4 linked regions of the Lonchura striata genome follow. The protein of the gene in region 3 interacts with the protein of the main gene of each other region in a pairwise test. Links are inferred from orthologs where the notes say so. Each region holds a gene or a part of one and is shown on either strand. Other genes may lie near its edges.

Region 1 (7,278 bases), on a different chromosome or scaffold from region 3:
GCATTGCATATTTAAAGCAAGTTGTCTGGCTAATTTTAGCAAAAGCATTTACCTCCCATATTTATACCTCAGTAACCACCTGGAAGGTGGCTCTCCATCTGCAAAATAAGGAGGAGTCTCAAACATCACTTAGTTGGAATTTTACAGGAAGGAATTTTACAGCTCCACTTACCAAAAACCTTTGTCCATTTATGCTGTGCTTCCTCACGACTTTCTCACAGTCCTTATACTTTAGCTGTCAATGAGAAGAAGATGATTGTTGCACCCTTAACTCTAAGAATTAATTAAGACAACATATGTTTGGCTTTGAGTAGATACCTTTTTGTATGCTATGGCCCACCTAAATGGCTCATTTTGTCCCATAAACAAAGATTTTTATGACAGACATCCTTCAGTGACTTAAAGGCTTTCATCCATTTAGGAACATGTTATTCCTCACACTTAGAAACCACCTCACAGCTGCCTGGCCCAAAGAAATATTTGAAAAATGGATTATTGTGGTACTGACTGGGATGAGCAGCTGCAGAAGTAAAGCAAAAACCTGATTATCCAGGAATACTAAAGCTGACTGATCCCAGTCACAGAATTCATTGTTGTGATCAAAAAGCTTTCACTTCTGGATAGAAATCTCACTTGTTAATCCTGGAAATTATCTATAATATTTGTAAAGCTTTTCCACAGTATTATGACTTCCAGTAGCATTTAGGACAAGGATATGCTCTTTAGAAGCTGCTCATGTACAGGTTGAGCACAAAGCAAGGCATGACTTTTAAACATTAAACAGTTGTCCTAAATTTGGTTTTGATTGGGGTTTTTTTGGTCTTTTTTGGTTGGTTTTGTTTGTTTGCTTGTTTTGGGTTTTTGTTTGGGTTTTTTGTTGTTGTTGTTGGGTTTTGTTTGATTGATTGATTTTTGTTTTGGGATTTATTTTTTTTTTTAATTTGAACTGTAATAGTACAGTGTAAGAACACAATTTATAGCTTAGATCTGTTTCAAGTTGGTCAGGTCCCTATCAGAAGGAGCCCAAAGAGCAGACAAAGAAACTTTTGGAGGCTCTGAGACAAAAGAATGACTTTTATTCTGTCTGAAACTTCAGTGGTGAAAGTTCTGCAAACGACCCTGTGCTGCTGGGACAGCTCCCCTACAGCAGAGGTTTCCCAGGGAGCTTCATGTGCTTTGTAGCCCTATCCCAGTTTTCATTTTAAGGTGTAACTTTGTAACTTCGGGTACGGATCCTGGAAACAACCGAACAGCAGAGAGGATATTTTTAGGAGCTACCTTCAGTTATTCATATGAAAAAACTCTGGTAAATATTTTAGGATACAGATTAAAACTTCAGTGCAGACTGAAGACTTAAACCTGTATATAATTTCTTTCCTACAGTGAACGCTATTGTGATGTTACCAGCACAAGTCTGTATGCAGAGGGAAGCAACACATCCCTGTGATTGAGACCTAATCTCAATCTTGAAGTAATTGATTTAAAAATGCTCTTTAGGTATTAAAAACAAACCTTGGAATATCCCAAATATGAACATCTTTGCTTTTTCTAAACCAAAAAAAAAAATCAGAAATTATTTGAAAATTTGGTTCATTCATCCTTTATCTCAGAGATAATATCTCTGAGTTTATATAGATCTCTGAGTATAGAATATTCTCAGAGTTTATCTCAGGGATAAGCTCTGTTCACTTGTGACAGTAGCCCAGAGCCACCTGACTTGGGCTGACATTCTTGTCTCACCCAGATTTTTTAGATTACTTAAACAGCTTTTGTCCTGATTTAGCTCCCAAGAGTGGAATGCCAGTATCTCCATTCTGGATCTTGATCCATAGAAGGGAGGCACTGCAGATAAATGTGCATTCAGTGATGGTAGAACTTACAGTTGATCCTTTTGTCACTGTTCAGGATATTACTATCAGATCTTTCAGAAAGCCGTTTTTTGCCTTCCTAATTTCTTGGAAATGGTGGTCCAACTTTGCTCTGCACTGCTGTTGTAATGTTTTTCGTACTTGTCTGAAGTTGCCTGTTGATAATGATCTCATCTATTCCATCTCCAGTTTTTGGTTTCACTTTCCTGTGCCACTAACTCCTGCACCCTAAAATTAGGGGCTTGTAAGTAGTTGGCAGTTTCACTTCTCTGGAGATTTGGTAGACACAGTTTCTATGTTTGATCTGCTTATCTTTATTAAGTAGTTCTGCATTCCACTATCAAACTTTCCTCACCTCCCTAGATAAGACTCTCACAGTTATAGGAGCCATTGAAAAAACAAAAATAAACTTCACATTATTTCAAAATTAAGCCCGAGGTGTGCCAAGTTTTATAAGTCTAGCCAGGGATGCGATTAACAAAGACATTCAGAGGCTCATTTGTTACACCCAGCAATTTGGAAAAAAATATCACTTCTGAAAATGATTGAAGATTAAACAGAAAACTTGTAATCTTCACACCTTAGTGCCTTCCGCAGCTGTTAACGTGTGTTACACCAACAAGCATTGTACTAACCTGTTCCCTTGCTCTAAGTAAGCCATGAGTTTCTCTTAAACCCAATTTAAAAATCCCTTTCAAGATTCATTTTCGCTGACCAGTTGAGCTCAGCTTCTCATTTGACAGCGGTTTTGCTTTTAGTTCTGCAGCAAGCTTTGCCCATTACAAAAGATCTGAATTTAGCCCTACCAACGTTCCAGCAGTTTGCTCCTCCATCAGATGAAGACAAACCAGGGCCAAACTCACCGTCCTGAAATATTCTGCTAAGTCCTCTGGGTCCCAGGTGAGCACGTCGGAGCGGTAGGGGACGTTCCGCAGGTCCATGGTTGGTGTCCCCCGAGGCTCAGGGAGCGTTCACAGCCCTGCTGCCAGCGACACTGCCATGGGCTCCCTCTCTGTGGCCACCTCCAAGGAATTTCTTGCCCAACCTCCAGCTCCTTCTGTCAAGGAACTGCTCTGGTCAATTGAAATGATGCTGTGAGTTCGTTCCAGAGAGACACTGCTTCCTCTGGTACAAAATGGTCTCTACTCCGAGAAGTTTCAGCTAGTCAGCCTTACCACTTCCTTTCTCTGAATATAAATAAGTAAACAAGGAAGCACAGCAGAGGGTTGAAAATGCTCTGCCTGCTACACAGAAATAAATGCCTATGGACCCTAATTGCTTTTAATTGCATTACTCACATTATACATGCATAAAAATATTGTAATATTATTTGCATAGGTGTGGGTTACTCTTCTGGTAAGGCCCCACTAAGAAGAAAACATTGACTTAAGAGAAACTGCTTTAATTTACCTCAGTACCTGAAATATCCTTATTTGTACAATTAAAGGTTATTGTCAGAGCTGCACATAATGGGGAAATAATGAATTAATGATGGAATTGCAGTCAATATCCCTTCAAATAAAGAATCACTCAGTGAAACTAAAAAATGTACAAGTTTAGATGAAAAATTATTATGTTGCCATTGTATCAATAGTTCATTTTTTGGCTACTTCTTATGAGGATTTGGTATCTGAAAATGAACCCACAAAACCATATTATTACCACAGGGATGTGATAAATTTTCATCTGTCCTGCACAACCAATTCAGGCACCCTCCTATCAGTAGGTGCCTTTGCTGAGATTACATAGAGTAATTCCAAGTGTGTCCTTTTCAAAAAGAGCCAGCATGTCCATTCTCCCTTCTCGTGGAACTTGTGCTGTGCTGCTGTGAATCCTTGGCCTCACTCCTCCATTAGACTGCACAAAATTTCTGAGTTTCCTGGACTGGTAAGAATAGGTGCATAGTTCTGAAGCGCTGGGGAGGAAATTTCCTCTTCATTTTATGGAGAAATGAAATGCATCCCTCTTGTCTCCAGTCACTGACAGCCTCCTAGCCTCATGTCTGCAGGTGTGTTGCACACGAGTGCATGTATTTGAGATCAAACCTACCAGTCTTCACTGTAAGAGTTTTCCTTTTGAAGTTCAGAGTCTGATTTAGAGTAGCTTACTTTTTTTCCTGTAGAAATTCTGGTAAATGATGGCAGCATGGTATTTAAAACGCTCTGGAATTAAACTGCTGTCAGAGCTGTTCTAAGAAGAGTAGCATTTATCAAATACATGCTACAGCTGTGTTTTCTGGGTTCTTACTTGAAATTACCTATGTGAATCATCTGAGGCAGGTCCTGACAATATCACAGAAATATTATCACCTCTAGGTCTGGGGATGAAATAGGACTGAAGGAGCTGGTGCCAAAGAATCCCCAAAGGAAAAGTTGCTTTGCTGGTGCATTGTCAGCAGTGGTAAAGGGGAGGTTACATAACTACACCTCAGACATCCCATCACAGCCCCTGGATCTCTCAGGGAAACAAGCAGGAAGGCAGGGAGAAGCCTGTGTTAAATTCCTAATTGCTTATTCTCAGATGTGTCTCATTACCCTCTAATCTGGTTTCTATCCCAAACCCAGTGTAGCAGATCTAATTGCAATTGTGTTACTCCTTATTTGTACTAATATGAAATTAATTAGTCTGGTCAAAATTTATGCTGGTGGTGTTATAAGGAGAATTACAGCATCATTTATTCTGATGCTGAGAAAGGAGGAAAGCAGTTACCTCTGAAGGCAATCTCCCAGCATCAAGAGCAGCTAACACAGAAATTCTAACACATGTATCTATTATTATTTGTTTGCATCCTGTCTGTGGCACTGTGTGCATCATAGCTAAGTGCAGATTTCATGCATTTCTTGCAAAACCCAGCTGCACACGAATGTGAGCTCTGTCTTTCTCTACAGCTTCTTTTGTAACATCATAAGCACATCAGATGTGGTGTCTCAGTAAGGCTTGCTGAGGAAACACCACTTTGTATTTTCTATATATGAATTTTCAGATATACTCCTACAGCAGCTGGCAATCTCATGAGATGGATTTTAAGCTCTTGGATTTTCAAAAGCTAAGGAACACTGCTATTATCGGGAGCATATTTTTTTATTAAGATTTTTTTCCCCTCTTTTTAAAAACACTAAGTGTTTCATAGGTATTTTATAGCCTGCAGTGACACAACCTTCACACCAAAAAAAGCGTCCCCTCAATAACAGCTGCCAATGGTAAGACTTTTCTGATGCAGTGCTGGTCTGGTGACTGATGATTGAAAATGTGAGACTCAAACCATTTTAAGCAACACAGGGGGGAAATTCACACTGCCGACATTCTGCTGCCTTCAAAGGGCAGCAACATTTTCCATTTTCTCTCACCTCTCTCTGGTGGTCTTCTGTCTCTGTTTTAAGTGGAGTCAAGGGCTTTGAACCACTTTCAGAAGGGTTTACTTTTCTAGAGTAACTCAGGTTACTCCATATCCCTAGAGCCAAAAAAAAAAGTTCAAACCTTGTGAGAATTTAATCTTCACGTTCATCACATCCCAAAGAAAGTGGATCTTTATGAAGTGGTTTTCTTTTGTCCTGCCCACATTTGTTTTAAAAAGACTGGGGTAGATCCTTCCTTTTACCCTGGAATGTTTACCCTAGACATCCTAGAGCTGCCCTTTACCATGGCATGCCCAGTGCCCAGGCTGTGTCACCTACCTGTAACTGTGAGAGGCTGAAGTGTCAGCGTTAATTTGGTGCTTTGCTGGGGCCAGATTGAAGGGAAGGAGAGGTTTTGGATGTGTGGTGGACAAACCTCTGATCCTAAGAACAACCCTGGTGCAGAGGGGGTTCAGATATTTTCTGAAATTTTAGATATTTTCATCACCCACCTTGGGAGGATGAGCACAACAATCTGACCTTTGCTTAGCAGTGAGCTGGGGTCAGAGCCAGATAAGGGAGATAAGGGAAGCAGACCCTGTGAGGTGGGATAATGCTTTTTACCACATCAATGTCCTCCCTTACACACCTGGCTCAGGTGTAAGTTAAACTCCTCCTGGAGAAAGTATCAGGATATTCACATTCACACCTAGGCCAATTTGAAAAAGCAATTTGTAGAAATGGAACTTCCAGGCTTCCTCCCCAGCCAGCCCCACTCTGGTGACTGCCAGTGCCAGAGATGGACCCTGAATATGAGACTTTAATGGGAGCAGCACCTGAGGTAAATGTTAACCAACCTCCCTGCCTCTGGAATGTATGGCTTGAATAAAACTGTCTGAGACACTGGCTTCAAATCCAATTTCATACAAAGCAAATGAAAAAAAAGTGTTCTCTATAGGAACTCAATCCTCAGCAAAGACTTTCCTGGATGGAAACAAAACATGCACACTTGAAGCATCTTTTCCCGTGTCAGTGAATTGTGTTACTCTGAGCAGGTGTCAAGATGGAGTTTAGGCAATTCCGAAAGGCCTGAAATCCTAAAATACAGCCACTGTAGAGTGCAGCTGGATTCTATCCAGAAACCAAAGAGAATCAAATATCTACTAAAGTCCTGTAAAAAATAAGGCAAATACTTAGAGATATTCTAGCAAGAGCAGTTTGCTCAGGAATATGTTTTGTTCCACTCTGTTTGGGTCATAAGTGGCATTATGTGTCTGGTTTGTCCAGAAATGCTGCAAACAAATGCAGAGAACACTTAGGGGACCTCAACAGAGCTGTCTGTCAAGGAAAGACTGAAAAAAATGCTTGCTAAGTCTGAGAAAGGGAAGCTGGAGATGAGGGAAGGAAAAAAGAAAATAAACTTTGTGACAACTAGCAGTCAGTTGTTCCCATGAGCTGTGAAGGGCTCTGCTAACAAGAAAAGCTGCTGCAATCTTGAGAAGGAGGAACTGGGGACTGAAGAACTGCTCCAGTGTTTGTGCTGCTCAGTGCAGCTCAGCAGCTCAGTTCAGGAGCTGCCAAGCAGGGTCAGCTGTCCTGTGACACAGAAGGGGCCAAAAGGACACCTGGAACTGTTCTGCTTTGGACATGACCCTCCTGAACTAACAGTGCCTTCCAGGGACAGAACTGCCAGTGAACACCACTTTTGTACCTGAGGTCACCAGTTTGATGGAGACATTGGAGCTTAAGTTAAAGCATGTTAAACACACACCCTTTAGTCTGGCTAACTGCTCAAACCCTTTCCCCCTGTGCTCACAATTTCTTCCCCAGCTCCAGCCCAGGGGCAGCTGCCAACACCTCGGCTCTGCAAGGCTCCAGTTACCCCCAGGATTTTTTTTCCACCAGCCCAGCTCCCTTTTGCCATCCCAGCTCCTGCTCTGGTTCCCACCCCAGCCCTGTTCCTGTCCCCACTGCAGGATTGGGCTGTGCTGGGGAACTCCCACCTCCACTGGAAACCTGAGTCTGTGGGAGCTGCTGAAGCCTGAGGAATTCTCATTCAGTGCTTCCATGGCAGC
Region 2 (7,573 bases), on a different chromosome or scaffold from region 3:
AAACCTCAGCTCCAACTAGGACACAGGGATCCAGTCCATCATTTCTTGCCTCTAGTACTACTTCTAATTTAACGTAAGGTCAACCACAGGAATATGAAGGTTACATTCGTATTAATAAAAACAATGTCTTAATCGCTAGGGCTTTCTTCTAAACTTACAGACCAACAGGAGAGGAGGCACAACGTGCGTCTCATGCTCCTCGGGAAGCCGGCAGAGGAGCGGGGTGTTTCTGAGGGATTGCCGGGCATGGCGTTTTTCTCCCTAAGCCGATCCTTGCGTTCGGACCGAGGGAATAAATTATTTCAGGTCTAATTCCACCGGTAGCTCGCTGCTCGCCGCAGACAAAGGTATTTTGCAAATCTAACTTCGATCTCACCGACTCTTCGCAGCAAAACGACACAAAACCACCCGTGCTCCCCTTGCAACTGGCTTAGTGAGGAGCTCTGCATAATCATTACTCAATTATAATGTTTTCCTGATTCCTTTCTGACGCTGTCATTATTATTTAGCAGGGGAAGGTAACCCGCTGCTTCGACACCAGACAGTTAAAAGTGGCACTGAGCGAAAAAAGACTTTGCTAAAAGTCTGTACGGACTGGGCTGATTTACAATCAAAACCAGGAAATGAAGTGGTAATTCAGAGGTTGCTGATTACACCTCCACATTTCACCTAATTAATTTTATAGGAGGCAAAGTTCTTGAAAATAACAAGATGATCAAATGTACAGATATAAAACCTGTAACCTCAACATTTTCTATGCTCTTAACGTAAATTATTGCTAATTAACAAGAATTATATACCAAAGTATGAAATACGGCTGGCACTGTGTTCGCTGCAAAACATTTGGCTCCCGATGGAGGCAGAGCCAGAAAAAAAAATGCTTTTTATTATTACTGCTACTTTTAGAACATAATATAAAATACCGGGATTACGAAAAAAACACCAGATTTCACCTGGTTTTGCCTCCGATTTGCAGGATGCATCTTTTAATTCTGGGGCAATCAAAATTCTCTGGCTGGGTCCCTAATCATCCGTCTCTATTTTTCATGCAAATTGCCCTTCCACCAACATGTCTTTTCAGCTTTCCCCCTTCGCCCTCCTACTCCCCCCTTTTTTTCCCTGTTCCCAGCCACCAGAACAACCGCACCGGCAAAAGAGGGATGGATTTTGGAGTGCCGGGAGAAAGGAGGTACTGGGGGTGATGGGGCGGGGAGGGGGGTGCCACAGTACGGTGAGGAGAAATGCCCGCGGGGCAATGCAGATGCGCTGCTGGGGCATTTTCCTGCACCGTACCGTGGGAAGGATGGAGAAGGGCTGTTTAATCCCAAGTTTGTGTCTTCGGATCACAGCGGTGCGAGGAAAGGGAGACTTGGGGGCACAATAGGAACCGCCAACACGTTATGGGGAGGGAGGGGAAACCCGGGGAGGGGGAAGGCGAGCATCCCCGCTACATCCCGGAGCAAGCAAACTCCGCGCAAATTAAGAACAAAGAAGAGGGAAGAGGGGCGTGGGGGGGTGGGGGGGTGGATGGGAGGGAGCTGGGCGCCCTCCCCCTCCCGCCGGCCGGGAGGCAGCGGAGGAGCCGGCCAGGTTCAAGTTCGCGGGGCTGCCCGGTTGTTTGATCTCGCTGTGCCTCCTAGCGACCGAAGCGGGCACGGATCCCGCCCGCCGCCTCCGCCCCGGCCCCAGCCCCGGCCCCGGCCCCGCCGCCGCATCCCTGGCGCGCCGCTCCCTCGGCCCGGCCTCCCTTTCCCCCCCCCAGCTCCCGGCCCACCCACACCCCCCTCCCCATCGCCGGGGCGGCTCTCGCCGGAGGAACCCCCCGGGCCTGTCCCGGCCGCCGCTCCTGGCCCGCACGTGCGCGCACTCCGCGCCGGCCCGCGGGTCTGTCGGCGGCGAGAACCGGCCGCGGGATCCCGCCCGTCGCCGCTGCCCCGGGGGCCGAGCCTGAGCCCCCCACCCCCTCCTCCAGTCCCGCCGCGATCCCCGTTCCCCGCATCCCACTTCCACGACTGCCCGGGAAAAGCACCCCCGTACCCCATTTCCGGGGGCGGGGGGGGAGGCATGCCCATATGCCAGCGATGCTGCGCCCCATCCCTAGCCCGGCAATGAAAAAAAAAAAAAAAAAAAAAAAAAGAGGCGGAAAAAAAAGGCTTTCCGAAAAGTATGAGGAGAAAGAGACGGCGGGGGGAGGGGCTGAGCCCCCGACACCCCCCGGGTTCTTAGGGCAGACTTTGGGCACTCAGAGCCCCCGGGCGGCCCTGCTCGCGGCGGAGCGGACGCCTGCAAAGAGCCAGCGCTGCTTCCTTCCCTCCATGTGCGAACCTGACTGCAATGTTTGGGCGGCCGTGGGGGAAGAGAACCCGCGGCGGAAAGTTTGGGGGGCTTTGCGAAGGGCCGAGGGAGCCGGGGATGGTTGGCAGGAAGAAATGGCCCTGGGTCTTCTGCCATCCCTGGGAGGGAACAAAACCCGTCGGGACTAATGGGAGAGGGAGAAAGGAAGAAATAAAGAAAAGGGGAGGAAAGGAGTGAGGAAAAACATGCAGCATTTCCCCTTCCCCCAGGTTCACCCCGAGGAAAAGGGGATATTTTTTTTTCGCCCTTCCTTCCCACCCCCCTCGCCCCAAACCTTTCCAGCTCGAGTTGCCTTTTGTTGTGAAAAGAGCGCTCCCGCTTATCTTGCATCTAGCCCTGGTGTGTGTGGCGGCGGCTGGAGGGAGGGACGGAGGGAGCCGGAGAGTTTTTGTTGCGAACGGTGTGGTGGGGCTCGGGGTTTGTTTTTTCACTCCCGGGGAGAGCGCATTTGGTTTGGGGTTGAAATGCGGCGGCGAGAAAGGGCCGTTCGCGGGTGTGAGGGTGCGAGTGTGTGTGTGTGCGTGTGAGCGCGCGTGTGTGCTCAGCCCGGGCTCGCTCTCGCCTGTGTTTGTTGGCAGGAGGCTCCCCGCACACGCGGTGCTTGTAAACATTCAGACACGAGATTTTTCCCAATCAAAATCCACTTCCACTTTTTTTTTTTTTTTTTTTTTGAAAATCTTCCAAAAAATAGTAAGCGAGAGGGAGAACGCGAGGCGAGGGCGAGGAGGGAATCCCAGCCGGCGCGGCGCGGCTCGGCTCGGCTCCCTCGCCGCCCGGTGCCGTCCCCCGCCCCAGCCCCAGCCGGAGCGGCGGCGGGGCGGGCGCGGGGCGAGGTCGGGGCGACGGAGCCCCGCACGGCGCCGGCCCGAGGCGGCGGGGAGCGGCGGGACGGCCACCCCGCACCCCGCGGCGGAAACAAAAGGGAGGCGTCCCCGCTTGGCTCGGCTTTGCCTCCCCCCCCGCCAGGAGGGAGCCGCGGGGCGAGGGGGCGACCCCGCCGGCAGTCGGGGGGGCTCCGGCCGCCGGACTTTCTCCGCGCTCCGCTCGCCGCCCATCCCGCCCGCCCGGCCACCGCCGTGTCCGGCGTCCAGCCCGCCGCTCCCGCAGGAATTTCTTCCCACTTTCGGCCGGTTGTGCCCCCGGCAGCCCCGCACCTCGTCCGCGCCTTTCCTGGTGCCGGGCGAGAGCTGCCGCTCTTGCCGCCAAAGAGCGCGGAGAGCGGGAGACGAGAGGAGAGCGTGGAGCGGGGCAGCGGAGTGCGCGCCGGCGGGCGAGGGGCACGGGCAGAAAAAGAAGAAAAGTCATCAAGGTGATTAAATTAGAGAGGCAGAAATTGCCCGGAATGCTGAGAATCCCGAGCCGGCGCTGAGTTAATTTTTTCCCCGACTCGCTCAATGGCTCTCACTTTTAATTTTTTTTCCCTACTCTCTCTCTCGAATTAAAAATTAAATCAGTGTAGGGTAAATTAAATAAATTGCTCTCCGGGTTACTTACGTGAAAATTCCCGTTTGCTTAAGTGCTGGGGTTTGCCTTGCTTGCGGCGCGACATGGTGGGTTGGTGGCTTCGGTGGCTTGTGAGTCGCTCGGTTCACATCGGGAGAGACGGGTTAGAGAGGAAGGAGACTCCAGAGAAAATATCTTCATCAATGTCTTTTGACATCCAAAATAAATTAGAAATAATACAAAGATGGCGCAGGGAAGATGAATTGTGGGATAGCAGTCATGGCTCTTTTTTTTTTTTTTTTTTTTTGTGCAAGGAAAAAAAAGAGAGAGAGGGAGAGGGAGAGAGAGAGAGGGAGAGAGAGAAAGAGAGAGAGAGATGAAAAAAATGGCAAAAGCCCCCCTGAGCTGCAAGTTCAAGTGCGGACGTGACGTCCCTGCGAACTTGAACGTCAGGAGCCTGGATGGACAGAGACATACAAAACATGGGCAGGGCAAGCCGGGGAGAGGGGAGGAGGGAAGGCGAAGGCAACACCAATGGACACTCATCAGGGGCTGGACATGAAAAAGAGAGCAGGACAAGCCAATGGACAGTGATCGCAGGGGGGAGAGGGGAGGGGGCGCGGCGGTGGGGGGTGCACCGGCCGCCCGGCGCACGCTGCCGAATGGAGCCGAGGGGCCGGGGGCGGAGGGGGCGGCGGCCGGAGCCGCGAGTGGCCGCGGAGGAGCGGGTGCAAGAGGGGACCCAGGAGAGGGGCGAGGGGCGGAAATTAAACACACACTCGGGGAGAGGGGAGGAAAAGGAGCGGGAGAAAGCGAGCAGGCAGGCAGGCAGCGGCAGCTCTCGCACGCACACCCCCGCTGGAAAAGCAAACACATCGGTGAAGCCAGAGCCGGGCAGAGAGGGCTGCGGGGCAGGCTGGCCGCGGGCTGTGCCGAGGAGATGGGGGAGCTGGGGGAAGCCAGGTAGGACCGGAGACCACCCAAAAAGCAACGGGGGGGGGCATCCGGCTCCCGGCTTCCCCGCTCGCCCCCACCCCCCCCCGCCATCCTCCTCGAAGCTGCCGAGTCCCCTCCTCCCGGGAGCTACGGCCAGTCCCCGGGGGACGGCGGCCCCGCGGGGAGCTGGGGGGCGGCGGGGCCTCGGGCCGGGCCGCGGGAAACTTCGGCGGCCAGCGGCGGCCCTTGCCCCGGGGCGGGCGGGGGAGCAGCGAGCGGAGTTTGGCGGGCGAGGAAGCGGCAGGCAGGGGAAGAGAAGCCGCAGGAGCTGGGCGCTGGGGGAGCGGAGGGCGGCGGGACCTCGCGGGCTGCTCGCGCCCGCCAGCCCCGGAGCCCTCCTTCCTCCCCCGGCAGAGCTCCGAGCCCTGCCCGCAGCCACACGCTCTGAACGAAAGCGAAACGTGGGGCTGCTGGCGGCGGGGCGGCGCGGGCAGCGGGCTGGCAACGGGGGTGGGCGGGAGAGTGGGGGAAGCGAGGCGGCAGGAGGCACCGAGAAGTGGCTGGAGTTGGGAGGATGCGGCGGCAGCGGCTGCAACTTCACCGAAAGGACTGGGAGCGAGGCGGATGCTGCCGGCACCGGGAGGGATCAGGTTGCGGTAGAAATAAGCTCTGGAGGCGAACGGGTGTGCGGAGCAAAGTACGGCTGTGGAGGGGAGTGCGAAGGGCTAGCCGTGCCTGGGACGGCGGCGGACAGCCGGAGAGGAACGCCGGGCGAGAGCCCGCGGGGCGAGGAGCTGCCCGCCGCCGTAAGGGACACTTCGCCGGGCAGAGCCGCGGCCGGCCGGGGGAGCGAGGGGGCGGCGGGGGCCGGGGCTCGGCGGGGACCTGTTGGCGGGGCGAGCCCGGGCGCGCACCGGCGGAGCTGTCAGGGGCTGGGGCCGAGCCGCTCCGCCGTGGGATAGTTTCAGCTTCCCGCCAGCCGCCCCCCGGCTCCGCCCGTCGCCGCTCAGCGCCCCCCCCCCTCCTCCTTTTGGCTCCCGCTCCCCTCCTTCATCCACCGGCACGGGGATGCTCCCCGCGGCTGCCGGGCCAGGGTGCGGGAGCGGATGCGGGACGTGGCGGAGGGACCCAGCCGCAGGTGACAACAGCGGTGGCTTCTGAGCTCACGCCGCTCGCAGGGATGGCTGTGCCAGGCGTGCACATGTCCCTGCGCGAAACACAGGCGTGTGGGTGTCTGTACCGGAGATGTAGATATATATATATGGGGCTTGATTTATATCTAATGGCACGTATAAAGCTTTTGAAGGTGGCTGCAATGTAAAAAGTAATGACTTTATTACCCCTGAAAGGTTCTGCGGTTCGCAGTTAACACTCCTCTGAATTACAATTCATTACGCTCTCTAAAGCCAACCTGCATCAGAACACCTATCTGTGCTTATTCCCAATCACAGGCATCGTTTCATTGATTTTCTTTTTTAAAAATCATAGCAAATTAAGAACTTGGTGACAACTAAATCTGTTTTATTATCGTACCGTGTTTGAGATTCCAGAGGTGACTTCCCAGACCGCATCTCAAAACCTCCAGTCAGGAGCTAATTTTACAGATGCTTTCATGAATAGCAGCGAGGATGTTCTTACCATCAGCATGCCCTTAATTCCAGCACCGTAAAAATGCCTCGATTTAAATGGAAACTCGCTGCCTTAAAAATAATATTTCATCTCGGCTGGATAATTATTAATATTAGCATTTGATCGCAATAGCGCTGTCTCCCCCTCGTTCCTGTACCCCCCCCCCCCCCACCCCACAGCGCTTCGCATTGTCATGTGATTGGAGGGAGATAACAAACCTAAAGAAAGAAAAGGAGTGAGAAGACATTTTTAACACGGCATGACCGCAGATTAATAATGCAGGTGGGTTTTTATTTCATTGTATTTTTAGGGTAAGGGAACGAGGCTGTTTAACGAGCACTCATTGGACACAAAGTGACTGTATTTACAATCCTTGGCTTTCGGTGGGTAATAAATTATGACAATATTAAAATTATTTTCTGGCAGCCCAGTTAACTGCGCTGGGGACTGTAAAGCCCCTACTGATTCCACTTACGCCTTGTAATTGAGGTCCATGGTCTCGCTTCAAACCTTTTGATGTGTATTGTGTGTAAACTTTTAGCTAATATACTTTTTTTGAATGAAGGGACTTTTCTCGGTACTTCCTGCCGCATACATTTTGTCTCTGATCTCTGTATTTAATGGCTAAGTCCTGGTTTATGCTTTATAATGTGTTGACAAGTTTTCTAACAGACTTTCTGAAATAATGCACATATATTCACATCGGTTAGAAACTCCACAGTATTTTTAGAGTCGAGTAGATCTATATCCTAATGCACTGAGAGGGAGTGTAAATCATAGAGGATTTCATAGCCCTTTCAGTAGTTTTCTGTATGAAGAATGAGCAGCGTGGCCTCCAGACGTAACCTTTTAGAAAAAAAGACAGTGCTTTTATTTTATTGTGTAAAGTGCTTTTAGCTTCAGGGCTCGGAACGTGAATGTGGTCAACAAACAGCTCTTGCCAGGGAGTTTGCTACAGCCCAGCGCCGGGCGCTATGGGGAGGGATGCGGGGCCGCCCCCGGCCGCAGGACCGGGCTGAGCCCCCCGAGACACGGCCCCCGCCCCCGCCAGTGTCCTGGGCTCGGATACCCCGCGGAAAGGGGGTCGGATGGCCCCCGGCGCTGCCGGAGAGGCTGATGATGGCAGCAGGGTCAGCCGCGGCGCGTCCGGGCGCAGGGGGCTGAGCTGCCTCCGAGCTGGCCCCGGCTCTGGCAGCAGAGACAGGGCCAG
Region 3 (7,733 bases):
GGAGTAGCAGTCCTGAGCAAAGTCCAATGTGGGCAATACCATTTTGCTGACATAACTTACCACAGCTGTGGAATGCCATATCTGCACCACTGGGTCTGCACAGCTGTGGCACATGTCAGGGGGCTGTGCCCCTCCCTTGAAATGGCTGCACTTCATGGCTGGAAGATGCAATGACTGTGTCTCTGCACTGTGCAAAACAGCCAACACTAGATGGAATTTGGTATTTAAGTGCAAAATGGAGATTACACAGCAGAGTCAAAACATTTAACAGAAATATTTTGAATTTCAAAACTGTATGAAAGATCAGTTTTAACCTTTGAATAGAGTTCAAAAGATGTCCCTCAGCACACATCCACTTTTAAATAAACAGAAGAATCAAGGGCCCTGACATTTCCAAAGCCCAAAACACCGGTTTGTTTTCCTTACATAAATACTTTGAATCTCAGCAACTGTCTACAAAAGATAACGATAGAATTTGTCATAGTTAAATGTGATCTGCTGATAAATTTAGCTTGCAGTTTTACAGCACCTTTGGGGAGCTTTGGTCCATTGAATAGAAGAATTTGGATGTATTGTGAGCTCTAAGGACACGCTCTTCCCCTCAACGTTTTTCATAAATGTCATTGAAGATGCAGCAGCCATGCAGTAAGTGAGAAAAGCAGCTGCCTTACCGCCAGGTTGAATCAGAATCATAGTGCAAATATACTTAAGTGACTCAGCAGTAACTAAGTGAGTATTTGGGATTTACTCTCCCCTGATAGTGGTCATGTAATTCCCCTTCATCTACATGGGAATTGAACATATGTTTTAAGCAGAAACTAAATATTTAGTGATGTAAACCCTTCAAGATTTTTTTTTTTGAGAGAAAATATACTGACAGAAGTTTTCTGTTATTTTCTGTTATTGTTGTTTGTGTCATTAAAATTAGCATTTTTTCAGGTTAAGGAGAATTTAAAATCCCCTTTTTTCTTCCCCAGAATGCCCAAAGATTTTTATCTTTCCATTTGTTATTGATACAGTATCAACAATCACACATGTATAAATGGAGTTTATTAGACTATTGTTATCTTTAAAAGGCAGTTTTGAAAATCAGGAGTAGGGGCTTTTGAAAGAGGTTAATCACAGAATCGTAGAATAAATTGTTTTGGAAAGACTTCTCAGATCATGGAGTCCAACCTATATTAACTTAGATTAGGTATATTTTCATCCCAATAGACTAACACAGAGTGACAAAACACCTTTTGCTGTCTACCTCTGAACTGGACAATGTTGTTTTCCAGATTTTCAACTTACCAGTCCCTCTGTCTCACATCCCTGCTAAAGTGTATCCCTATGGGAGTAGGTATTAGTTCAGACTCTAGATAGAGCAGCTGGTGAGAAAACCTGATGCATCTGGAGAAAAGATCAGGTATTTGTGCAGAAGGAGCCACATCTGGGAGGTGGTTGTTCTCTCCTGCCGCATTGTGTGTAAACACATTAGTGTGGTTTGGATCTGCATGGCTGGGATCCACATGTTCGCATGCCCATCCTGTGGAAGCCACCGCTCTGCCGGGCCGGTGGTAAAGCCCAAGCAGCAGCACACAGGGGAAAGAAAATGGGTAGTCATGAAAAAAGAAAGGCAAAAAAAAAGTAAAGAACTATAAGCCAAAAGACATGCTATTATTTTTTTTTTAGTGCCTTGTGCAAAACATGAACATCAAGATGAATTGACTGCCATTATATAATTGCAAAATAGGTCTATCACACAACCTCTGGGTCTGGGGTTTGCATGTAGCCCTATTTGAAACAGTGGTATGAGGCATGCTGTTTCTTTGCCAAAGACATAGATACATATTTCTATTATTCACCCATTTTTTTCTCTTTTTAGTATATAGTTATGGCCTTAGGCTGGGAAAAATATTTATGCTCTTCTCTACGGTGTATATGTTTTGTAAGGACAGCACCACTCTTATGCATATGCAAAAGTGCATGCTTTACATATTTACTTTCTTTATACAAAAGTGTGCCTGCCACATCATGTACTGCTTTCACTTCTGTGCATATTCCCCCCAATTTATCATCTTCTCATATTTAGAATGTAATTCTCACTCAAATCACAAGCAGCCAGCTCTTCTTAATAACAGTTATTTCAGAGATAACAGCTAATTATGACATTTTAAAAGGCATACATTAATATTTCAGTAGGCTCAATGTTTTGAAATACTACTCAGGGCAACATCTTGGTTGTTTTTGTGGGGAAACCTAAGGATTCATTCAGCAAATAGGCAGTTAAAACATCCTTCAACATATAAACCCTTGCAAACACTTTTTACAGTGTATTCTGTTTGTCATAAGCCACACTTTGGAAAAAACCCCAGCTTTAATGGATCTCTTCTTAATGCAATTAAGTATATTTAACAACAGTATGCTTCAGAGTCCTTAAATTAGTCCTTTGCCTCAAGACAATGTATTCATCCAAATCCCTCCCTAAAACATTCTTATTCTGCAAATCCTATTAGCATTAATCTGCTAAAGTTAGGTGTGTTTTATCATTTTTTTTCAGATACCTGGAAAGCTTTGAGAGCTACCGCTCATTCAGCAGCTAATGGTCCCTTCTAGAGGTCTTAGCCCAGAAACTTCGAAGGGTCCATGCCACCTTGCCTTGGACATCCTCAATTCAACAGCGAATAGGGAAAAAACCAGAGGAGGATTTATTGTGGGATGGCATTAGCAAAGGTGTGGTAAGAGGGACAAAACTTGAGACCAAAACCTAACTGTATAGTATAAATGCAAAGGATGGAAGGGATAATTCACCTCTCTTTTATCTCTTCCACAGTGCATTTTGTTCTAGAAACAACAGAGACTTTTATCTGAAAGTCCTTGGATGACCGATCCCATTTAAATTCAGCCTAAGCCTGTGCAGGCTGGAGTGATGCCTAACCATGCTGTGAGGTGGAGCCAGCAGGGACCCCAAATATTTTCCAGCTCTAAAAAAGCATGGTCAGATTATTGTTTCAAAAGGAAGATTAATACCTCTCTGAAGTGAAATTAAATGCATGCACAAAAACACAGGAAAGGGGATTTCTGTTCCTCCCCGAGGTGCATACAAAGTCTTTCTTGGAAGAAAGAGGTGGCTGCATTTTCCTTTCAGGTTTATCTCACAGGCAAGTGAAAGGCACTTGGAACTTCCCAAACCACCAATTAAGTGCTGTAAGAATTTGTAAAAGTTAACAAGGGGAAGAGGGAGTTATTTGAGGATTTCTAAACCATTTTAAGCAGGAGCATGGAAAGATGGCCGAGCACACATCTTTGTCTCAAGATCTCACTACTATATTAAGCTTGGTCACAGAAAACAAGGTGGCAGGGTTGCTGACTTTAATTTGGATTCAGAGTGGTGTTTCCTAGTCTTGCCTCCAAAGCCAGGAATTGTCTCCTGAGAAGAACCAGTATGGATAACACTCCAGCCTCCTCGCCCTCGGAGCTGCCATATTTCATATGTAAAGATGTATGTATTCGTATGTAAATACGGCATGTAAACATGCCAAAGGTTTACAATATTTTAGAGTGGCTTCCCCCTTCCTTCCTGCCCACCCCGAGGGATAATATTTCCCCATAGCCTAGGGACACTACTGGGGGGAGTGTGCCAAGGGGAAAGCACTGGAGCTGGCAGGTTGGCTATTCCCACTAGAGACCAGGGCCACGATGGGATGCTTCTGTCCTCTGCCTTTAATCACTCGTGGAGATCTTTCCCGTGAGTGGAGAGGCACAGCAGGTAGCACGGGCTGGACATACACCCAGCCACGGGGCTTTGTTTCAGAATTGGCTTACTCCAGAGACTGGCCTGAAGTGTGTCAGGGGAGGTTTAGGCTGCATATTAGAAAAAGTTTCTTCACCAATACGGTGCTTGGGCACTGGAAAAGGCGCCCCAGCACCAAGCTTCACAGAGTTCAAGAAGCATTTGGACAGTGCTCTCAGCACATGGTGGAGTTACTGAAGTGTCCTGTGCTTGGCAAAGAGTTGGGCACGATGAACCCCGTGGGTCTCCTCCAACACAGGATATTCTCAGAATCTGTGGCTTGGGGTGGCTGCCGTGCCCACACGCTCTGCCGAGGGCACAGCACCTACCAATTACCGCCCGACCGGCTGATGTACTGGGCACCGAGGCTGAAACTTCGCCCCGGGCCGGCAGGGAAAAGAAGGGCCGGGAAGAGAAGAGCTACGGCTGCGGCCGCCCCGCGGCTAATGGGCGGCGGCGGGAGCGCCCGGTATCGCGGCTGGAAATTCCCCGGCGGCAGCGGCGCCGCGCTCCCGGCCCGCGAAGCGCCCGGCCCGTGGCAGCCCCGGGGCGAACCCCGGCGCGGCGCATCCCCCGGCCCAGCCCCGAAGCGCGCACATCTCCCCCATCCCCGGGTCTTTCAGCGTTCGCCAGTACTTTTCCCGGGCGCTTCCGCTCCCAGCGGGGCAGCTTCCCCGGGTCTCATGGGGATGGAAGGGGAAGGAGGTGTCAGGGCGCTCGTCACGGGCAGGGGCCCCTTTGCCCCGCCCCGCGGTCCCGGAGAGGTCCTCCCGCAGAGGGGAGGGAGCCACCCAGGCTGTCCCTGCCCGTCCTTCCTGCGCTGGGGCGGGGGAGCAGCGGCCCTCCCGGCGGGCAAGGGGGAGCCCGGAGAGCTCCTCCCGCGCGATCCCGGCAGCGGCAGCGGCAGGAAGGGCAGGGCGGGGGCGGGGGCTGTGCCTGTGCCGGGGGGGGGCGGTTCGCGGAGGAGGGGCCGCCGCCGCCGCCGGGCGCAGCAGGCAGAGGGAAGGCAGGGAGCGGAGCTGCCGCCGCCGTTGCCGCCGCCGAGGGCCGGGGCCTTGGACGCGTCCGGTGAAGAGCGCGGGAGGAGAAGGAAGGGGAAGCGGGGGGAGCCAGCCGGCCCCTCTCGGAGGACGCGGCCCGCATCCGCCCGGGGAAGGACAGAGGGAAGCGGAGGGGGAGCGAGCGGGCGCCGCCGCCGAGGAGACAAAGAAGCGGAGCCCGCCTGGGCTGGGAGCCTCCCCGCCGCTGCTGCCCGCCCCGCTCCGCTCCCCGCCGGCCGGCCGGAGGTGAGCGCGGCCGCGGGCGGGACGGGGATGGGGCCGGGGCGGCGGCTGGGGCCCGCCGCAAACTTGTGTCGGCCGCGGGGGACGACGCGGGGAAGGGGCGTCGGGAGCGGGGGAAAGGCGGGTGTCACCTGTGCGGCCGAGGCTCCGCGGCCGCCCCGCGCAGGAGGGGCCGGTACCTGCCGGGGGCGGCCCGGGGGGCCCGGAGCGGGAGGAGTGTTCGTTGTGCCACGTCCAGTTGGGGGGGGGGGGGCTGGGGGCGGCTCCTCTTCATCCTCCCGAGTTGCCGCTCGTGTGTGTGCGTGCGTGTGACAGCCGCTGCTTTGTGCCGCCCGGCCGGGGGGTAGCGCCGGGCCGGGACGCCACCCCCGCACCCCTCGCGGGGCTCCGGTGAACAGGGGCGGTGGATCCGGCGGCCGGGGCAGCGCCGGGGGAGGCGGGCAGCGCCTCCCGGCCGGAGCGCGGCGCACCCCGAAAGTTTCCCGGGCGGGAGCGGGAGCGCCGCCGCCCCGCGCGGGGACCGGCGAGCGAGCACGCCGGGCTGCGGCGGGGACATCGCCCTCGGTCCGCTCAGTTCGTTGTTTTTCCGTCACCGACTTTCGACTTCATAGGGCTGAGGCCGCGGATTTTCTCAAGGAGCGCGGTGCGCTATGGCCTCGGTCGATGCCAGTATAGGTAAAGGACATAAAGGTAAAATTACACCTCACGTAATGAGTGTTCAGTGAAGCGCATCCCTGCGTGTTTTGGGAAGAAAATTACTGAAGTTTATAAGTCTTCTCGCCCTGTTTTTAATTAAAAATCTGCCCAGCCTAACAGCTGCCCCTTGCTGGCAGGGTAGGCACTTTGGCCTATCTAAGATCAGGTTGCCAGATCGGGATTCAGTTTTGTAGTTCAGGTCTGACCTGCAGCTGGCTGATCATGAGAGCTCTCAGCTCTAGTTTCTATGTTAATATCTTCCACTATTTTTTAACAGTGAATGTGATTCTCTGTGTGCATAAGGGTTTTTCCGTGGATTCTGTGTAGTATTTCACTCTGAACTACCGTGTTTTTGTAAAACAAAGAGAAACCTTTTGTTGTTTTAAAAGTTGTACAGTGACTGAAAGTCGGCAACAATTTAAAGCGTTCTTCAGCTTGAACAGCGTTTCTTCCCATGAAGCTTTTTTCTTCTGAGGAACGTACTGCTGCTGTTCTAGCAGCTTAACGTGGGAGAATTAGACTTATCTTTCATGAAATGTGGTAGTGGCCCTTTGTAAAAACAAATTTTCATGGCCTAACCATGCGTGGTTTGTATCATCGGGAGTTTGGACTGGTAACTTAATATGGAGGAATTTGAAAGGACTCACTGGGTAGGAGATTATGAAGTATTTCTGTTTGAAAGTACTTGTTTTGTCGTTGCTTTTTAGGAATCTGAAGCAGCACCACATAGATGATGTTAATGGTACTGTGTTTTCATTTTTAGGATTATAATTTCTGATGTAATGTTGCTTCTCTGAAATATTGATTTCACAACTCTGGAAATCGAAAGCCTCTGTCTCACCCAAGTGTGTTTAAGAAGTTAAGCAGATTGCTTTGTCTTTGTAACTGACTTTCTTCTTGTGACTTTGACAGAAGATGTCACTTTTGGGAACAGTGAATAAATGTAGCAATAGAAGGCACCCGTACCATGAAGATCAAGACTGTAATTAGCAAATATTTTTATATAGGCCATGAAACGGAGACAGATTCATTATAATGTTAGCTCTTGTTGCTGTTGTTCTGTCGTCGCAACATTAGCTGTTGCATTTGCCTCCTACTTCTACCAGATTACAGTTCGATTGCTTTTGTGAAAAAAAAAAATTATACACAAAATCTCTTTTGCATTATTTTCCCAAAACTAATAGCGGAGTTAGCCCTTGATAGTGTGGATGATCCTTTTTACTACATCCAGACTACTGAACATATGATAAATTCAGAAGTTCAGCCTTTGCCTTGTTGCCTTACAGACAGGGAACTTACCTCCCTTTCCTCTCTTCTCTGTTTTCTTGGTTAGCTGTCTGAAAGCTTAAGGAAAGGTGTTTGCACTCTTCCATGTCACCTCACATCTTCTGCTATATAAAGAAGAGGGACAAGGTCAGCCGTGTCTGCTGCTTTTCCAGCCTTTGTTTTATCTGTGCCTTGTGTTGCTGTTGGTATGTTAATCCTTTGCAGTTCTCATGGCTTTCCTCAGTAGAAACTATAACAGTAGCAACTTGAAAAGTGATACCCAGATAGCTCTGTTTGCTGGTCGTGGTCTTGAGCAGCAGCAAAACTACCCAGAGTATCTGCATTTCTCATGCTCCTTGAGCATTAAAGCTGCTTCCAGACTCATGGAGACAGGTGCTGTATCAATTTACTTGCAGCAGGTTTGAAATCAAAACCAAGGCATCTTTGAATGTAAAGCATACGTTCTAGAAAAATATTTTCTGTTTGTATTGAGGGACTGATGGTTTCTAGGCTGTGGGTATTCCCAAACCCCACTCCTGCTGTGTTTTGAGGAAGGGGAATTGCTGATGTGGATTCATTAGAGATGTTTGAGGGAGTTTGAAAACTGAAACCAGGCACTGCTGTGTTTTGGTTAGTTCAGTCAGCCTAGGGGTGAGGTGCTGGGTGCTCGTTGCTGGACACCCTGCTCCCCCAAAGTAGGTCATCTGGTGTGT
Region 4 (7,147 bases), on a different chromosome or scaffold from region 3:
CCACCTATTTAAGTGCCACATCTACATGTTTTTTCAAACACTTTTGAGGAATGGTGATTCCACCACACTGGGCTGCCTGTTACAATATTTAACCACTCTTTCAGTAAAGAAATTTTTCCTAATATCCAATTTAAACCTCCCCTATACTAACCTGAGGCAATTTCCTCTTGTCCTATCACTTGTTACCTCGGAGAAGATACCAACCCCACCTGGCTACAGCCTCCTTCCAGGGAGCAGAACGAGTGGTGAGGTCTCCCCTGAGCCTCCTTTTCTCCAGGCTGAACACCCCCAGCTCCCTCAGCTGCTCCTCTCAGATTTGTGCTCCAGACCCTTCCCCAGATATGCTCCAGGGCCTCAGTGACTTCCTTGTAGCAGAGAGCCCAAAACTGAACATGGGATTTGAGGTGCAGCCTCACCAGTGCTGAATGCAGGGAGACAATCATTCCCCTGGCCACAGCACTCCTGATCCAGGCCAGGAGGCCACTGGTGTTTTTGGACACCTGGACACACACTGGCTCATGTTTGGTTGCTGTAAACCAGCACCCACGGGTTCTTTCCCACCAGTCACTCTCTCCCAGGCCTGTGCACCACTGTAAACACAAGCTCTCTTTGGGCTCCTTGACTGGAGAAAACTATCCAAATTTCTACAATAGGAAGGACAACAGGACGCAATATATGGCACTTGATCTGATCTTTTTGTCAGGATGGCCAAAAACAAATACGTGAATTCTTACATCTCACCTGAAAGAAAAACACATTTTATAATGTGCTTCTGGAGGGTTATTTTTCACTCTGCATTTTCTAATTTTTTACAAAGACCAGGCCATCTACACTGGAATCTATTTTCAATCTAAGTATTTATTAAGAAATTGAGAAGATTAAAGTAAGAAAGAAGTTAACTCCAGGATGCTTCATCTGTACCAGATTTTAAAAAGAGGTCTGAGAAGCAGACATTGCTGCATTGTTACATATTAAGGTAACAGCATAACATTTAGAACTTCTTATTTTCATGACAGATACTGGGGTTTTTTAATTTATTATTCCTCTGAAACACCAAGCTTTTTAAACATACTTTCACCTTCTCACATACAGAGATAACTGATGCATCTTCTATTTTGCCCTCAGATTCCAAAGCAGCCTACCTAGACATGCCTTTGCTTTCAAAGCAGCCCCATTTGAAGGATTAATTGTGACAATGCCAAGAGAAGAGACACCACTGAAGAGAAAGAGATCACCAACTCCCCTGATGCCCATCACAATTCAGAATTCTTGGCATGTAATCACCCTGGTCATCATCAAGATGACTGAGGAAGTCCTGTTAATTTGTGAGGGCAGATAAGACATTTAAACCAGTGAGGTATCAGAAACACTTCAGAAGAATTTCAGTAAGACATTTGAAGGACTTATAACTGAATAAACTTTGTTTGCAAAGCAAACAAATTTATGCCAACGTTTCTGTCCATCACAGATGTCAGAGAAATTTATGAACCAATGTCAATGTCCTGAGAACACTTTGGCTAGGAGACATCTTCAGGGGTGGAAAGTTGAAAGCTTTCATAGTTTTCAGTAAATCACCTCCCTCTGTAGTGACACTGTGTGAGAGGCACCACTGTGCTGCACCAGAAAAAAATACAAGGAGAAGGGAAAAAAAGCATGAAACAAACAAATAAAAAAATCCTAAACACTTGCTGGACTGTCAGAAGCAGAGCATCAGAGACACTCACAGTTGATCTGAAACAACAGCAGCTCACAAAGCAGATTATATGCCTGATAGAGAACAATCAGGAGCAACATAAATCAAATTTACCAGCTTTTATCTAAGTGTTTGGCACCAGCCTGCAGCAGGAGCAGTCTGCTATCTACTGCTGGGTTTTTACGAACATTTCACAACCAGTCAGTTTTCACCACTCCTTGAAAATGCTCCATGCACCAAAGCCACGGGCACACAGATAGCTGGACAGAGCAGGGCAGAAAAAATGGGATTCAGATTTCCTCTTTCACAAGTCCTTCTACACACAAATAAATTATTTTTCATCTTCCCAAATATTTACTACACTGTATATCTCCAGGATAAGAGCTGAGGACTACCACTAATAATGCCAAGCAGGCTTCAAAGTTTGTCTCAAAACTATGATTTTATTTTTCATAACCAGGGTACCAACTCCTTCACACTCCAGCTGTACAATGTTCTACTGACACTTGGCAAAGCTAATGAAGTAAAAAACAATGTTTCCACCCCTAAGTAACTTTTTCTCCTTGTGTCATTAATAGTGTTACCAACTTTCTAAGGCCTGAACCAACAAACACAAAAAGATCCAGCAGCACAGCCAAGAACCACCTTCAGTAGATGCTCTTCCACTTCAGGCCTGCACTGATTGTCTGTATTAGGATGGCTCTGTTCTTTGTCAAGTCATTTCACCCGTCACTTTATTTTATTTCCCATTAAGCAAACGCAGGGGGTCATGGCAGCCCTGACAGAGAAGGCAAAAAGCACAAGGGTGAGGGAAAAACCCACCGTGCTCTCAGCTCTTAGACCTGCGGCATTTTCTGGCAATAGGGTATGACTGTGAGTAGAAAAGCAGCAAAGAGCAACTCCGGGCACAGGGGCGGCGGAGCTGGAAGGTGAAATGGGACATTTAAAGAGAAATCACTCTGCCCCGGCCCGGCTTTTGCTTACACGGGGCGCGAGCCGCTCCCCTCACACGGACGAGGGCGGGAGCCCGGCCGCAGGGACGCGAAGCCGTTCTCGCCCGCGAGAGGCGCCGGTCCCAGCAGACACGAGGCTCCCGCGGCACCGCCCCACGGCGGGCCCCGCCGGCGGCTCCAGCGGCCGCCTCGCCCGCGAAAGCCCCAGGCCCCCTGCTCACCAGCCCGTCGATCTGCACTTGCTTGACGGCCGAGTCTCCCGCGGCGGCGGCCTTGCCTTTGCCCTTGGCGGCGCCGAAGCCGCCGCCGGCAGCGCCCGAGCCTTCCTTGCGCGACGCCATGGCTGCCCGCGGCCGGAAACGGAAACGCGCCCGCCGGAAGCGCCCGCGCGGCAGCGGCGGTGCGCGGCCAAACGGGCCCGGGCGGGAACGCGGATCGGGGCCCGGCACGGCGGCGGTGCCGGCTCGGCCCGGCCCGGCCGGCCCGAGGCTGCCGCAGAGCCTGTGTGGGTCTGGGCCAGCTCATCCGACAGGAACGGCCGGGAGAGCCGCCCTGGCGCCTGCCCTCCCCACAGAGTCATTGCCTTGTAAAACCGCCACGATGTCCAAGCTGTGCCCAGACGCGCCGTGTCACCTGCACCACGGCGCTGAGTGCCGCCTCCAGGCGTCTTCAACACTTCCATCCATACCGACTGCACTGCACGGGCAGCCCATTCCGGTGTTTAATCGTCCTTTCTGTGAAGAAATTCTTCCTGATGTCCAACCTCCCCTGGTACAGCTTGAGGCCATGCCCTCTGCTCCTGTCACCCTGGCGCTATTTACCTGGGAGATGAAAATTAAGAAAAGATGTTCTTTGACATTTGCTCTTGGTGTATCTTCAAGCCTAATCAACAAGAAAGGAGACTTAATCTGTGAATTAGATAGCAGCTAACAAGGGCTAAGTGATGTCCAGGCATTAGAAATTAAAAATACTTGTTGCCTTGTTAAGGACTAGTGCTGGATATGCTTCAGTGATCTCAGACCTAGGGGGAAGTTAACAATGAGCTTGGGAAGAAGGATGTGCCATTGACAGTGGGCACAAAGAATGCAGAATTTATGGGCCACGAGGACATTTGACAGACCCCTCAAGATGAGGAAGAAACTAATAAGGACAACTCAACAACTGTGCTGCATCAGCTTCCATGAGGTAAAAAGCAATTCCAGCAGTGGAAAATCATGACTCAAGAAAGCCACCAACTCAGAGGAAGAGGAAGACTTAGCATACAGACTAATTAACATGAGAAGTGAGAGAATCATTAACCAATAGAAGATAGAACACTAATTAATAAGATAACTAAGTAACTTCTTATGAATGAACATTAGTGCCTTTGTTAAAATGCATAAATAGTGAAAAGTTTTGGTAGTCATTTTGCTGGCTTTGTGGATTTGCCACCCAGCACCCCTTTCTGCAGAGAAGTGTAAAAAAATGAAATACCTCAGCTCTGTGTGGATTGGCTTCTTGCACACCAGGTGAAAGAACCTGTTTGGTACCACTTACAGGGAGATGTAGAGAGCAACATGGTCCCCCTTGAGCCTCCTTTTCCCCAGGCCAAACACCCCCAGCTCCCCCAGCTGCTCTTCATCAGACCTGTGCTCCAGAGCCTCCACCAGATCCATTGTCTATCTCTGGACTTGCTCCAGCCCCTCAATGTTCTTCTTGTAGTGAGGGGCCCAGAACTGGACACAGCCCTTGAGGTGTGGCCTCACCAGTGCTGAGGGGAGGGGAAGGGTCACTGCCCTGGTCCAGCTGCCATTTGGCCCCTGGCAAAGCATTTCTGACAGCCCAGAAACCTCCATCTGTGCATTTCCAGGGCCACCTCAGGCAGTTCTGATTCCACAGTGATGTGAATTCCCAGCCCTGTTGCTGGGCCAGCCCTGGGCTGCAGCGAGGGCTCCCCAGCATGGTTGAGGAGACTCTGGTCTTGAGGAAGTATTTACGCCTAATAAACCTGCAAATGTTAAGGGACATGTACTTCTTATAGATTTGAAAGCTTTGTGTAGTATCTTTACAAAAGGCAAACTGCTGTGGGGTGATGTGAATATCTGTCCTGAGCATGAATAACGAGACATCAGTGCCAACTCTTAACATTACACAAATCCCTGAACTATCAACTTCTGCAATTCTCAGGAATGAGTTTGGGTTGCATTAAAACAGTTGGTTTTGCTGCTCCATTTTGTTTGAGGTAGGGGTTTCTTGTGTGAATTTTTTTAAATTTAATTTCAAACTCTTCAAATTCCTTCTGAAAAATGCAACGCGCTATGAAAGGCAGCCCTACCAAACCCCCCAGATCTGTTCAGACACTATGCCAAATATGTGACTTCATAAAAATTTATCTTTTCAACAGTGTAGTTAACAGTCATTTCTAATTAAGGGTGAGGAACATATTTATCAAGACCAATATTAAAACGTATCTGCATTTGCCTGCGGCCACAGACCCAACATTTGCCTGTTCCTATAAAACGATTCTAACATCACTTAGAATAGTCCTTATCAGTTGCTTGCATTGATGCTGGAGCAAATTGAAACAAAGAATTGAGTATAATAATCATCCCAGCAAGGCAAAACATATCCTAAATTCCACTGACATCACTGACTAAACTGCATTGACCCTAACAAGAAATCTGGGCATCCAGAAGAAATCTGGGCATCCAGCTTTGCTGAGGACACCTTGTGATAGATGTCTAAAGCAGGGTATGATGGATCCCACTTCACATTTTCCATTGGGAAAATAATTCTTAAATGGAGATGAAGGGGCAGTTCAGAATGGCAGCATTGCTATGTCTGAGATTGCAAGGCAAGATGTATTCTGTTGCCATCTGTTAGAGGTGTGTCAGTTATCTTCTCTTAATTGGACAGTTTTCTTTATCTCTTCCGCAAACCAATCCTCCCACCACGGAGACATCTGCTGTTAATGGGCCATTGAATGTCACTGCATGACTGATAAAAATTACAGCATCCCACTGCAAAATGCTCCTCCCAGAGGGAGGAGGCAAGCATTTCCACCTGGATATAATGAGTTTCTGGAACATCAGCATGGCTTTTTCTGCACTGGATTTCCCAGAGGAATACCTGCCTCTTCTACTGCATCTTCAGAGGAAGACTACACCCTTTTCTACAGGATTACTGCTCCAACAGAACCACACCTAACCCTCCAGGAGTACTGCAGCCATAATTCCCAATTGGACTGCTGCCGACACCCTGACTAACAGGGTGTCAGTTGTATTCTGTCAGTGTTGTTTTAGTTCACTGCATTGTTTATTTTATCTTTTTCTTTCCTAATAAAGAACTGTTATTCCTGCTTCCATATTTCTGCCTGAGAGCCCCCCTTAATTTCAAATTGGTAACAATCCAGAGGGAGGGGGTCTATATTTTTTTTTTAACATTTCAGGGAAGGCACCTGCCTTCCTTAGCAGACACCTGTCTTTCCAAACCAAAACACACTGAGGTCAAATGTGCCTTGTGCCCCAAAGAAACTGAAGTGCATGTGCAGTGGGATCAGGGAGATTTCCTACAAGCAGTTTGTAGAGAGGCTGATGCAATAATATCCCTGATCTTCAGGGCAGTGTGCTGTGGCCAGCGAGCTCAGCTATCATGTAGGTATTGAGTCCTGCCCTTAGGTTTCCATGAAGGCTGCACTCCCACTGGCATTGACTTCTGAAGTTTTCCTAGATAATGGAGTTAATTCAATATTATTATTTAACTTAGCTGTTATATTAACATGAATATCCAGTTTTAATTCACAATATAATAGTCACAGAATCACTGAATATGCTGAGTTGGAAGGGACCCATCAGGATCACTGAGTGCAGCTCTGGCTGCACAGGACATCCCCATGACTCACACCATGTGCATGAGAGTGCTGTCCCAATGCCTCTTGAGCTCTGTCATGTTTCATGCTGTGACCACTTCCCAGGGGGGCTGTTCCAGTGCCCAGCCGCCCTCTGGGTGAAGAAGCTTTTTCTGATCTCCAACCTAAACCTCCCCTGACTCAGCTTCATGCTGTTTCCTCAAGTGCTGTCACTGGTCATAAGGGTAAAGAGATCTACACCTGCCCCTTTGCTTCCCCTCCTGAGGAAGCTGTAAACTGTCATGAGGTCTTTCCTCAGTGTCCTCCAGGCTGAAGAGACCAAGTGACCTCAGCTGCTCCTCATACAGCATCTCCTCAAGGCCCTTCATCACCTTGGTTGCCCTCCATTGCCCTCTTTAATGGTTTAATATCTTTTTATATTGTGGTGACCAAAACTGTCCCCAGCATTCAAGGTGAGGCTGCCCCAGAGCAGAGCAGAGCAGAGCAGAGCAGGACAAGCCCTCCCTTGCCCAGCTGGTGATGCTGTCCCTGATGCCCCAGGACAGGGTTGGCCCTCCTGGCCACCAGGGTACTGCTGGTTCACGTTCATCTTGCCACTGACCAGGACCCCCAGGTCCCTTTTCATGACTCTGTTCTCCAGCCTCTCATTCTCCT

Evidence for each region.
Region 1: the proteins of NCK2 (region 3) and LCP2 interact in binary tests that used the Homo sapiens proteins (3 or more experiments, as listed by UniProt). The two-hybrid records come from large-scale screens. The link is inferred for Lonchura striata from reciprocal best matches to the Homo sapiens genes NCK2 and LCP2.
Region 2: the proteins of NCK2 (region 3) and BCL11A interact in binary tests that used the Homo sapiens proteins (3 or more experiments, as listed by UniProt). The two-hybrid records come from large-scale screens. The link is inferred for Lonchura striata from reciprocal best matches to the Homo sapiens genes NCK2 and BCL11A.
Region 4: the proteins of NCK2 (region 3) and EIF3H interact in binary tests that used the Homo sapiens proteins (3 or more experiments, as listed by UniProt). The two-hybrid records come from large-scale screens. The link is inferred for Lonchura striata from reciprocal best matches to the Homo sapiens genes NCK2 and EIF3H.

Annotation. Positions count from the first base shown.
Region 1 is NC_134617.1:14,843,379-14,850,656, forward strand, and holds the start of LCP2 (lymphocyte cytosolic protein 2), read right to left. Parts: upstream 3,009-7,278; 5' UTR 2,810-3,008; coding exon 2,732-2,809; intron 236-2,731; coding exon 173-235; intron 1-172. UniProt on the Homo sapiens protein: Adapter protein primarily involved in signaling pathways within T-cells, as well as other immune cells such as platelets, mast cells, and natural killer (NK) cells.
Region 2 is NC_134605.1:25,456,282-25,463,854, reverse strand, and holds the start of BCL11A (BCL11 transcription factor A), read right to left. Parts: upstream 3,001-7,573; 5' UTR 2,967-3,000; coding exon 2,630-2,966; intron 1-2,629. UniProt on the Homo sapiens protein: Transcription factor. Associated with the BAF SWI/SNF chromatin remodeling complex. Binds to the 5'-TGACCA-3' sequence motif in regulatory regions of target genes, including a distal promoter of the HBG1 hemoglobin subunit gamma-1 gene.
Region 3 is NC_134604.1:89,331,578-89,339,310, forward strand, and holds the start of NCK2 (cytoplasmic protein NCK2), read left to right. Parts: upstream 1-4,733; 5' UTR 4,734-5,061; intron 5,062-7,733. UniProt on the Homo sapiens protein: Adapter protein which associates with tyrosine-phosphorylated growth factor receptors or their cellular substrates. Maintains low levels of EIF2S1 phosphorylation by promoting its dephosphorylation by PP1.
Region 4 is NC_134603.1:15,127,433-15,134,579, reverse strand, and holds the start of EIF3H (eukaryotic translation initiation factor 3 subunit H), read right to left. Parts: upstream 3,020-7,147; 5' UTR 2,988-3,019; coding exon 2,868-2,987; intron 1-2,867.